Drosophila melanogaster: one gene and its partner. The protein of the gene in region 1 interacts with the protein of each later gene in a pairwise test. Each region holds a gene or a part of one and is shown in the gene's direction. Other genes may lie near its edges.

Region 1 (4,627 bases):
TTGCATAAATAGAAGATATGATTTTCATATTCGTACACATATGTATATGCACGATTTTCTTTCCTTTTCTTTTTCAATTTTTTTTTTGCGCGTCAAACAGAAACAACTAGAAGAAGAAGATGAAGAACTTACCACTTGCGTTGTTGTTGCTGTTCGCTGGTTGAATCAGCAGCAGCTGAAACACAACAACACTGCCACTCGTTTCGCTCGTTCCACTTTTCTCACACGTTCCGCAGAGCGCGCGCAAAAACAACAACACAAACAAAAATCATATGTTTCAGCTGCTCGCTCTCCTACTCTCTCTCACTTGGTCTCTCTTTCTCACTTTAGCTTTTGTTGTTGATTTCCTTTATGGTGTGTGCTTTTCGTCAGTTGTTGCTGTTGTTGTTCTTAGTTCTTGTTTGCAGCTCCTCTTTATTATTATCTTCGGTTGTTGCAGGCGGCAGCAGCAGCAACAAAATCTCCAATTGCGTCTTGCTCTTTCTCTCTCTTTTGCTCCGTCTCCCCCTTATGTTGTGTTTATATGCTTCTTATTATTTTGATTTGCCACGCCCTCAAACTGTTGTTGCTTAATATTGGGCGTCTACTAATTAATTACAAGCTTTTTCGAGACGCGCAGCAAATTCTCAACTGCGGAGCTCGAGTTTTGTTTGAAAAAAACTGAACTATTTTTTGTATGTTTCTTCTTCGTCTTCCTCTGCCGCTGCCGCCGTCGACGCAGAGCCCTATTGCTGGCTCACTCCCACTCGCGTTCACAAATTCACGCACACGCACCAATACAGACACAACGACTGCGCTGCGTCGTACGTTTTACTTAAGTTTCCTTTTCGTCGTTTTTCGTTTATGATTTTGTTATTGTTATCGTTGTTGTTTTTTCTGCTGCTGTTGCTTACTGCCAATGTTGTTGTTCTTGCTGCACAAAAAGTAACTGCGACATTAAATCTGCAAAACGTTCGCCTTGTTTTCGTACTCTCCCGTTAACTTATATACATAGGTCTTTATATATATATATATGTATATATCGATTAAGAGACGATTTATGCGTCGCAACAGAAAAAAAAGAAGAAAATAACCAAGAAACTCTGCTGCCAGAACGAAAGGGAAAAAACTAGTACTAGCTGGTCTGACTGCTGGCGAGCGTTTGCCTTTATTCGTGCAATATCTTTAGCGGACACTTAGTATTATTAATTGTTATTATTTTGGTTGCTGCGCTGTTTCTCTCTCTGTTTTTTGTCTCGCTCTTTTGGTTTCTGGGTGCTATGCCAGTGTGACCGTGCAGCTGTAATATGAAATACCAAATTTTATATTACAGCATTCTGAGTGTGACCAGACTTTATATACGAGTGTATGTCCTTGTAACGGATAAATCTAGTTGCAGTCTATTTATTTAAAATATTAGCAAAGCAGCTTAATATGAATAGCTAACGGCTTTTAAAATATTAAAACACAACACCATATGCTCTGAAAAAACGTATAGTTTCACCACCGAATTATTCAGTAATAAAAGTAATTATTTTAATTAGTATTTTTTTTTTCATTTTCAAATTTGAGCTTTTGTAGCATTATTTAGTATCTAATTGCCCTAGGCCGGAACCGATTATTGAATTCAGACCACCGCCATTTGGCAACACTGGCGCTGCATTAGCGGCAAAAAAGATTAATTTGGCCATTTACGTTGGCGTAAAGTTCTGTCGCACAACAATTATAAAGCTCGACCAGCTGGGTTGGTAAGCGTTCATGATCGCTCCCGTTCGCCGCAGCATTACTCTAATCCTGTCCAGCGGCATATTTTTGCACAACAGCCACATGGCGCATTAAGTTTGTTGTTTTTCGAAATTCGCAAAATGTGTGTTTATTGCGGTTGTGCTTACGTGTGTGAGTGTGTGTGTGTGTGTTGGGTTGTGTTTTGGTATCCAGAGTGAGTTCATCCAAATGGGAAAAAAGGAAAGGAAATGAATAAAGTGTTATATGTTGAAAATAATATATTTGGGTCAAATCTGTGGGTTATGTGTGTGCGTGGGTGTGATTGTATATAAGGCACATTCGTTTTTTTCCTTGATTTCCTTTCGCCTTACTTTCGTTTTCTTTGCGCTTTCTTGTTTTGCTGCTCCGCATGTTTGTTGTTGCTGCTGCACGCGCTTCTTCTGCCGGCGCAACTAATTCGATTTATTTATAAAACGTAGATTTATACATGTTTAAATATTCTGCTCTAAACTAAAATGCAAAATAAAAGCATCTATCTATTCGCGCGCGAGCGCGTATATGATTGTGTGTGTGACCTTCGTGCAATTTTCCAATTGGGAAAGGGGAAGAGAACGAAGCAGTGGCGAAGGAGAGGATGGCAGCCGGAGAGCGAGGTCCTGCGATAATGCAATCAGATCGCCTGTGCATGCGTGTGTGTGTGGGGGTATTTTCGCAGCTTTAATTCAATTTCTCCGAGCAACAAGCACTTACGGTTTTAAAACAATTACACACGGGCACTTTTACAGTTTGAAAGCTTTGTAATCAGGCAATTTACCTCCTCCTTCCTTACCAAGCTCCTCCATATTTATTTGTTTTTTTTTTATGGTGTGTGTTTTTCTACTTTTCTATCGCTATGTCTTTTGCAGCACAAGAACGGCGGAGGTGGCGGCAGAGAGAAAAGAGTGAAAAACAAACCAAAAGACACGGCAAATCAGTCTAGTCAACAAAAGCAGACCAAATGAGCACGCACTTCGGGACTAACGAGCAGCACAAACTAAGCCAAAAATAAAGCTAAAGATAAAAGAGAGGCAGAGGCATCACACACACACACACACCCGCACGCACACACACTAGCACAAGCCATTACACTAAGCGAAACCGCATCGGAAATCGGCTTCAAGATGCGGGTAGTGGCCATGGTCAGTGGCGGCAAGGACAGCTGCTACAACATGATGCAGTGCGTCGCCGAGGGCCACGAAATCGTCGCCCTGGCCAATCTGCATCCCAAGGACAGAGGTGAGTCCACAACGATCACTTAGTCTTTAGCTTAAAGGATATAGAAAACGTACCACATCTCCTTTGTCCCACCATGATTTCATGACTGAATTCTGAAAGAAGGATCACATTAATGTTGATAGGCACATATGTATATGCTTTCAATTTGGATTCTTCTGACAAACAGACAGTGCCATTTTATTGGCACACACGATATTGGTATTCCTATTTGCACTATCATTTACCACCATTACGCCTTATTTGATCTCTCGCCGCTGTGCCTCTTCATCATGCATCTTCAATTTCCAGACGAACTGGACAGCTTCATGTACCAGACGGTCGGCCACATGGGCATCGAGATACTGGCCAGCGCCATGGGATTGCCACTATACCGGCGCGAAACCAAGGGCAAGAGCACCCAGACCGGCAAGCAATACGTGCCCACCGATGACGACGAGGTCGAGGATCTATACAGTCTGCTGGAGACATGCAAGGTGATTGATTGCTTAATGATTGGCCGGTTCCAAACTCAAACCCCAATCCCGAACCCCTTCCCTAAATTCTGATTAATATGGATGATAAGGAAAGCGGGGGAAAATCGACTGCAATTGCTGTGTTGTTGATACTCTTGTTTTGCTAAGCGCTCCAAGTTCCGTATATAATACATAATTGATTTTTAATATATATATGTATATATATATATATACACCGAAAAAACGAAAATGTTGCTCTAGACAGTTTAAAAACTATATTCGTTTCTTTTGAATCTTTACGTGCTTGAAAATACTATATATATTAGTGGGAAATGTTTTTTTTTTCTGCACGTAATAGTTTATAATTTTCATTCGTGAGCCTATCAGTGATCAGCGATTTGGTTCGTCTATCCGCGCTTGTTGTGCCATGTCCTTGGGCTCCTGGTCGTGCCCACTCATCCGCGTTCCAGCGCATCAATCAACTGCAGCCCAGATTGCAACTGCAACCGCAAACCACTCGGTAATTGGGTGGGCGCAATCGCATTTAAATATTCACATACTCCTATATGTATATGTATGTATGTACATACATCCATCCATTCGCGATGGGAAGGCGCCGGTGGGTCGGTGGGTCGATGGGTAATCTTATCGCGATGCCCAACCAATCAAGACGGGACGAACCGAACTGTTGCCGTGCACGTGAACCATTCCACCGGGTTAAATAAGTAAAAACAAAAAAGGAAAAAAAAAACACTCAAAATAGTGATACAAAAAGTATTAAGACCGCAGAAACCAAAACAATAACAATGCAAACCATGAGTATTATAATATATAATCATACAATTTGTTTTTGCACCATGATGGGGTGTGTTTACACTTTGGCAGGCCTTATAGGCATTATAGTATTATTAACTGAAGTCATTAGTATCAGTATCGCCTGCACTCACAGTGTAATTACATTTTTGCATTCGCTTAGCTGATATCGTGCATTACAATTTGATCAGCTTTGAGCTGATAGGAAATTAATTACGTTGAAAATATGTCGTATATAGGAACTAATAATAATTCACTAAGATAGTGGATTCTATACACTTTTTATTGATTATGACGGCATGCCCACGATGACTTTAAGATCAACTATTAGGTAGGGTTATTCCATTTTGGTTCTTATAGTTTTCCTTATCATCTTTTAAGCT
Region 2 (4,612 bases), on another chromosome or scaffold:
TGTCGGTGGGAAGGGATCCATTCCTCGTTCTCCACCAGTAACATTAACAAAAACAAAAATAAAAAGGAAAACAGCAGCTTTTCACGTCCGATGATGCCCAGTTGCATGACTTCTTGTTTTTTGCTCGAACGGAAGTCCTTTCGACGCCATTTTGCGGTCGGCTATTGCAATTGAGTGCAGCCCCGACTTCATCAGCTTCCAGTTCCGTTCTCCTCAGCCCCAGGGATCCGGATCCCTCGAGGAGCTCAAGGATACGTGCCCGGGCACTCTGGCACGCACTTTAAGTTTCATTAAACAAAACCATCGCGCCTAGGCCTTCGAAGATTGCCTATAAATTCATGGAAGTCAGTGAAATGGAAAGCAAAATCTATGGCGGACGCAATTTGGTACAGTGTGCTGTCGGAAAACAAGATCGATACTAAAATTCCAAATGCTGATACAAATAAGAGTAACTAGAATAATGAATTTTTTTGTTACATTAAAAATGTTTTTTTTTCTTGTTCGTTAACTTTTAAGTCATCTTTCGAAGCTTCACTGTATTTCTCGCCGTTTTCCGACGCTGCTGACACAGCAGTGGAAATCCGTTTGCATTTCAGTGAGTCCAGGCTGTCGGGTGGGATTCCTATTGCCAGACCCACATTCCTTGGACGACCATTAAATCTGCAACAATTTACTTGTGATTGACATGTTTATAAGGGTCGTAACCCACAGAACCCCTTCCCTAGACCATTTTTCCAGGGAGTGACCCTTTTCTGGTGGAGATGTTTGTTTTTGTCCCCTTTCATAAACGAGTGAAGCCTAAAACGGTTCTGGACTGCTCCTTTTTTTCATTTATCACGCAAAGAGAAATAAATCTTTGATATTTGTGCTGTCAAGGAAGCATACTAAATATCCTTCTGCACTTTCCAGTACTTTTCCTTGGCGAGGCGGAAGATATTGAAGTGGACAACAATTCGTGGCATTGTCTGAAAACTCTCAGCACACACAATTAAAAGTTCCCACGTCAAGGGATACATGAATAAAACAACAAAACGAGTGCGTGAGGAAGAAAACATAACTGAATCGAACGGATAATACCCTAAAAAACAGAGACAGATATTAGTGAATTAATTAGGAATAAAAATCACAACTTATCAACTTTAGAACTCGTATTTGAATAAACTTTCCAAATGAACATCCATTTAATTGAATTCCCACATATAAAACTCTCTTGCCAAGTTCATCATACCCATAAAAGTAGAAAAGAAGTGGAAGCAATGAAAATAAAAAAAAGTGTTCCACAGAATCTTCGATATCTCCATTGGCGGACAAAACGCGTGTTTTGTTTTAATTTTGCACTTGGAAGAAGAAAAGAAATCCCAACCGGTTTTCAAAGGCGCCCCCCTAAAAAGGGCAAAACGTGCGGGTAATCATCAGCCAGCGCAGTAAAAAATGAAAATACGAAATACTACATACAGTTCACGATCAATTGAAATGCAACAAAAAACAGCTGACATGCAAGCAACTGCAACTCGAACGCACTTCGAGCCGCAACTCGAACCGAAAAACCAGGTTGGCACCGATCGTGGCTAAGATCGAAACAAAGTTTGGAAACTTTCAGTTGAGCGCGAGAATTCCACGCGGGCGGACGGGGCGGATGAACGATATCGGTGTCTTGTCGGTTTTATTCTGGTGTCGAAAAGAGCGATAAGAACTGAATTCGTTTCGAAATACTGAGAAGTAAGACACCAAAACGATAAGGAGTCGCCGCTCTGCATGTTAAAACCAAGTCGAGTTACTTCACATGGAACAACACGCAAAATGAACTAAAAACTCATTTCGAAACAGCTGAACACATTTGTCAGCTGGTTAAACAAATTTTGTGTGGAGAAATGCTAATGAGTTCCGTTGCTGTTGCCGCTGAACTTTTCAATTAATTTAACAGCCCATCGTCGTTGGCATAGATCTTATCGCCATATCATAAAACAAAAAAATAAAAGCCCAGCCGAGGAAAACAAAACCCAAAAAAGGTTCTCAAGAAAGTTTAACGAAATTGAAAGAAAACAACACAGCAGCTCAAACGGTTTTTGTTGCTGCCATCTATTTTGGAAGCGATTTTTTCTTTTTTTAGGCCGAAAGGTGCGCCCGATTCCAAAGATTCGAGGCATTACGAGCCCCGCGGGGTTCTCAATTTTCAGCTACCCTTTTCGTGAGTTTTTCGCTGAGCTCAGTGGGATATAAAAATATAGACATAACTCTGCTCATATTTGCAAGTATTTTTCGTACTGACATTTGAAACCAGAAATATGTATGCCCCATCCCAGAGTTGCTGCTGCAAGGTTGTTTTTTTTTTACCTGTCCTCTGCCATTAATTGAAATCCAATGCGGAAGGGGCGTAGTAAAGTGCATTGAGAAGGGGTTTTTGGAAGGGGGCCAACCGACCGCTAGGCTATGACAATTATTACAGCTTCCCAAAAGCGGCCAAAGAAACAGGTTGCTCTCGCTCCTGCCATCAAAAACTCGCAGTAAAGCCAAGTAGTGCAAATTGGTTAGCATAGAACATAGAACATAAAACATAAAAAAGGGGAAAGGAAGTTGGGCCTGCAGTACCGGGTTTTAAATACACTTTATAAGGCAGAAAATCAAAAATATACCATAATTTAAATAAGTGCCTGCTGCAAATGTCACTTTCTATAATAGCAAAGCTGGTCTTATATAACTAATCTAATCTATAATTTCTATCAAAACATATATATATCAAGACAAGAGTTAAGCAGATCTCCGAATACTCTTTGGTAGAGTAAAGAAAAAGCGGAGCAAGATGGGGCTGACTGAGAGACAGGAAAAGAGGCATCGACCACTTACGCATAACTGTAAGATAGACTGGCAGCAAACAGGATTTCTGGCACGTACTTCTGGCTCACAAGTGAAAGAATTACTTGGCTCTTTTCCTCCTCTATGTAGCATATATTGTACATACCATATAGCGTTTGGGTCTGCCGCGCCCCTTATCAACCGACAAATTAAGTTCAAACTGCTGCTGCTGGCCGGCATGGAAAAGAGCTAAAACTCCAATTTGTGTCAAAATACTCATGCGCAAAAATGGAATTTTTCCATTAGGCCAGAGAGACCCAAACTGAAAAAGCCAACAAAAAACTCCTAAACTAACATGAAAACAGTGAAAATCATGTGGAGAGACTAGCTAGGCACTGAGAGAAATTGAGTAGATCGTAAAAGTATTTTACAATAATGCCATTCGTAGTTAAATGAAGTAAGCGCTGGTTGCTTCGTTTAAATGGCCTGCAGCTATTTAAGCCAAACTATCGTTTTAAGGGTATGAGCATTTTCCTCAGTGTACCAGACTAAAGTAAAGTAAAGGCAACCAAAGTTTCAGGCTGCAACTTGTCAAACGTGTTCCCCAACAAAGTCTCGCGGCATTTGGAAATGTGCAGCATTGTGCAGCGGCAAGAAAAACAGCAGCAGCAGCCACAGAAACGAAAACAACTCGCATAACTGTGACTTGTATTAATTTTCAAGCTTTTCCAAACAGCCAACTGCAAACAAAAAGAAAATCCTAATACCGCGTTGTCTCAGCAGCAAAATGTTCGCGGCGACAAGAGGCTCAATTAGCATTTAGAAAAGCCGCATCGTCATCGCGATCCCATCATTAAACTCCCTATAGATGGAGGAGGACGTGCTGAACGCCCTGCAGACGCGGAGTGCCTACTTATCCGGCGGATTCGATCGCCAGAAGCGCATCGTCTTCGTTGTCAACGCATTCAACGATCTGCAGCTGTGGAATCGCCGCTATCTGCAGGTGACTCTGGACTATCTGAAGCGGTCTCTCAGGTGAGAATCGGGAATTAAGTGGTATTAGGCATTTGCCATTAGGCACAGAAACTTTAGAAACCGGCAGTGGAAATGCCGACGATTCATTAGCATATGGCCGAAATATGCAAATAGCCCGCAGATGATGAAGGTTCATTTTTTGTCGTCTTTAATGCATTACTTTTCATTAGACACGGCTCTCTGGGAGGGGTCTTAAAACGGGTCTCGAAAAGCGGAAAACACCTAACAAAATCTGGTTATTTATATGCTAAGTGTCAGATATTTAAAGCCAACTAAATAATTTAAAGTTTCTGAAGTCAGATGATTTGTCTTGAATGGAAAACATTGTTAATATCCACTTACATATATTACTTCAGAGTAACTTGATACAAAGTTCGGTCAGTTTAAGCACACTTTCATTTTATAAACACACTTTACAAGCAACATATGTAAAAATAGTAGTAGCAATAAATGTACCCTCTTAAAAACCTTAAGATAATTTATGAAAATTATATACCGTTCGTAACCTATTTAAACAACTACCTATGGGCTTTACGCCCTTCTTTTGTTATTTCCCATTTAAGTTTGTTTATTTATTGGCACAACAAGCAAATTGTTTAAGTTTACGAGGTAGGCATCAAACAATCTTTTAAATACAGGGAAGAAGCCACATGAATTATGGATATATTGATTGTGATCAATCAACTGGCAGTTCCCCTGAAAAAAGAGTGTCTGATTAAAGCCAAATCCTAACTGGCAAGCTAATGAAGCGCTTAAAGACGCTTTCCTCCAGTCCCAAACCGAT

What was found. Proteins that work in one complex are often made in the same cells at the same time.
Region 2: the proteins of CG1578 (region 1) and CG15822 interact in a two-hybrid assay, tested with the Drosophila melanogaster proteins (one large-scale study listed by BioGRID).

What each region holds. Positions count from the first base shown.
Region 1 is NC_004354.4:11,813,522-11,818,148, reverse strand, and holds the start of CG1578 (uncharacterized protein), read left to right. Parts: upstream 1-1,597; 5' UTR 1,598-1,723; exon of another isoform or gene 1,724-1,727; intron 1,728-2,405; exon of another isoform or gene 2,406-2,609; 5' UTR 2,610-2,864; coding exon 2,865-2,979; intron 2,980-3,267; coding exon 3,268-3,452; intron 3,453-4,627.
Region 2 is NT_037436.4:2,160,847-2,165,458, reverse strand, and holds the start of CG15822 (uncharacterized protein), read left to right. Parts: upstream 1-1,595; 5' UTR 1,596-1,719; exon of another isoform or gene 1,720-1,768; intron 1,769-3,529; 5' UTR 3,530-3,661; coding exon 3,662-3,828; intron 3,829-4,612.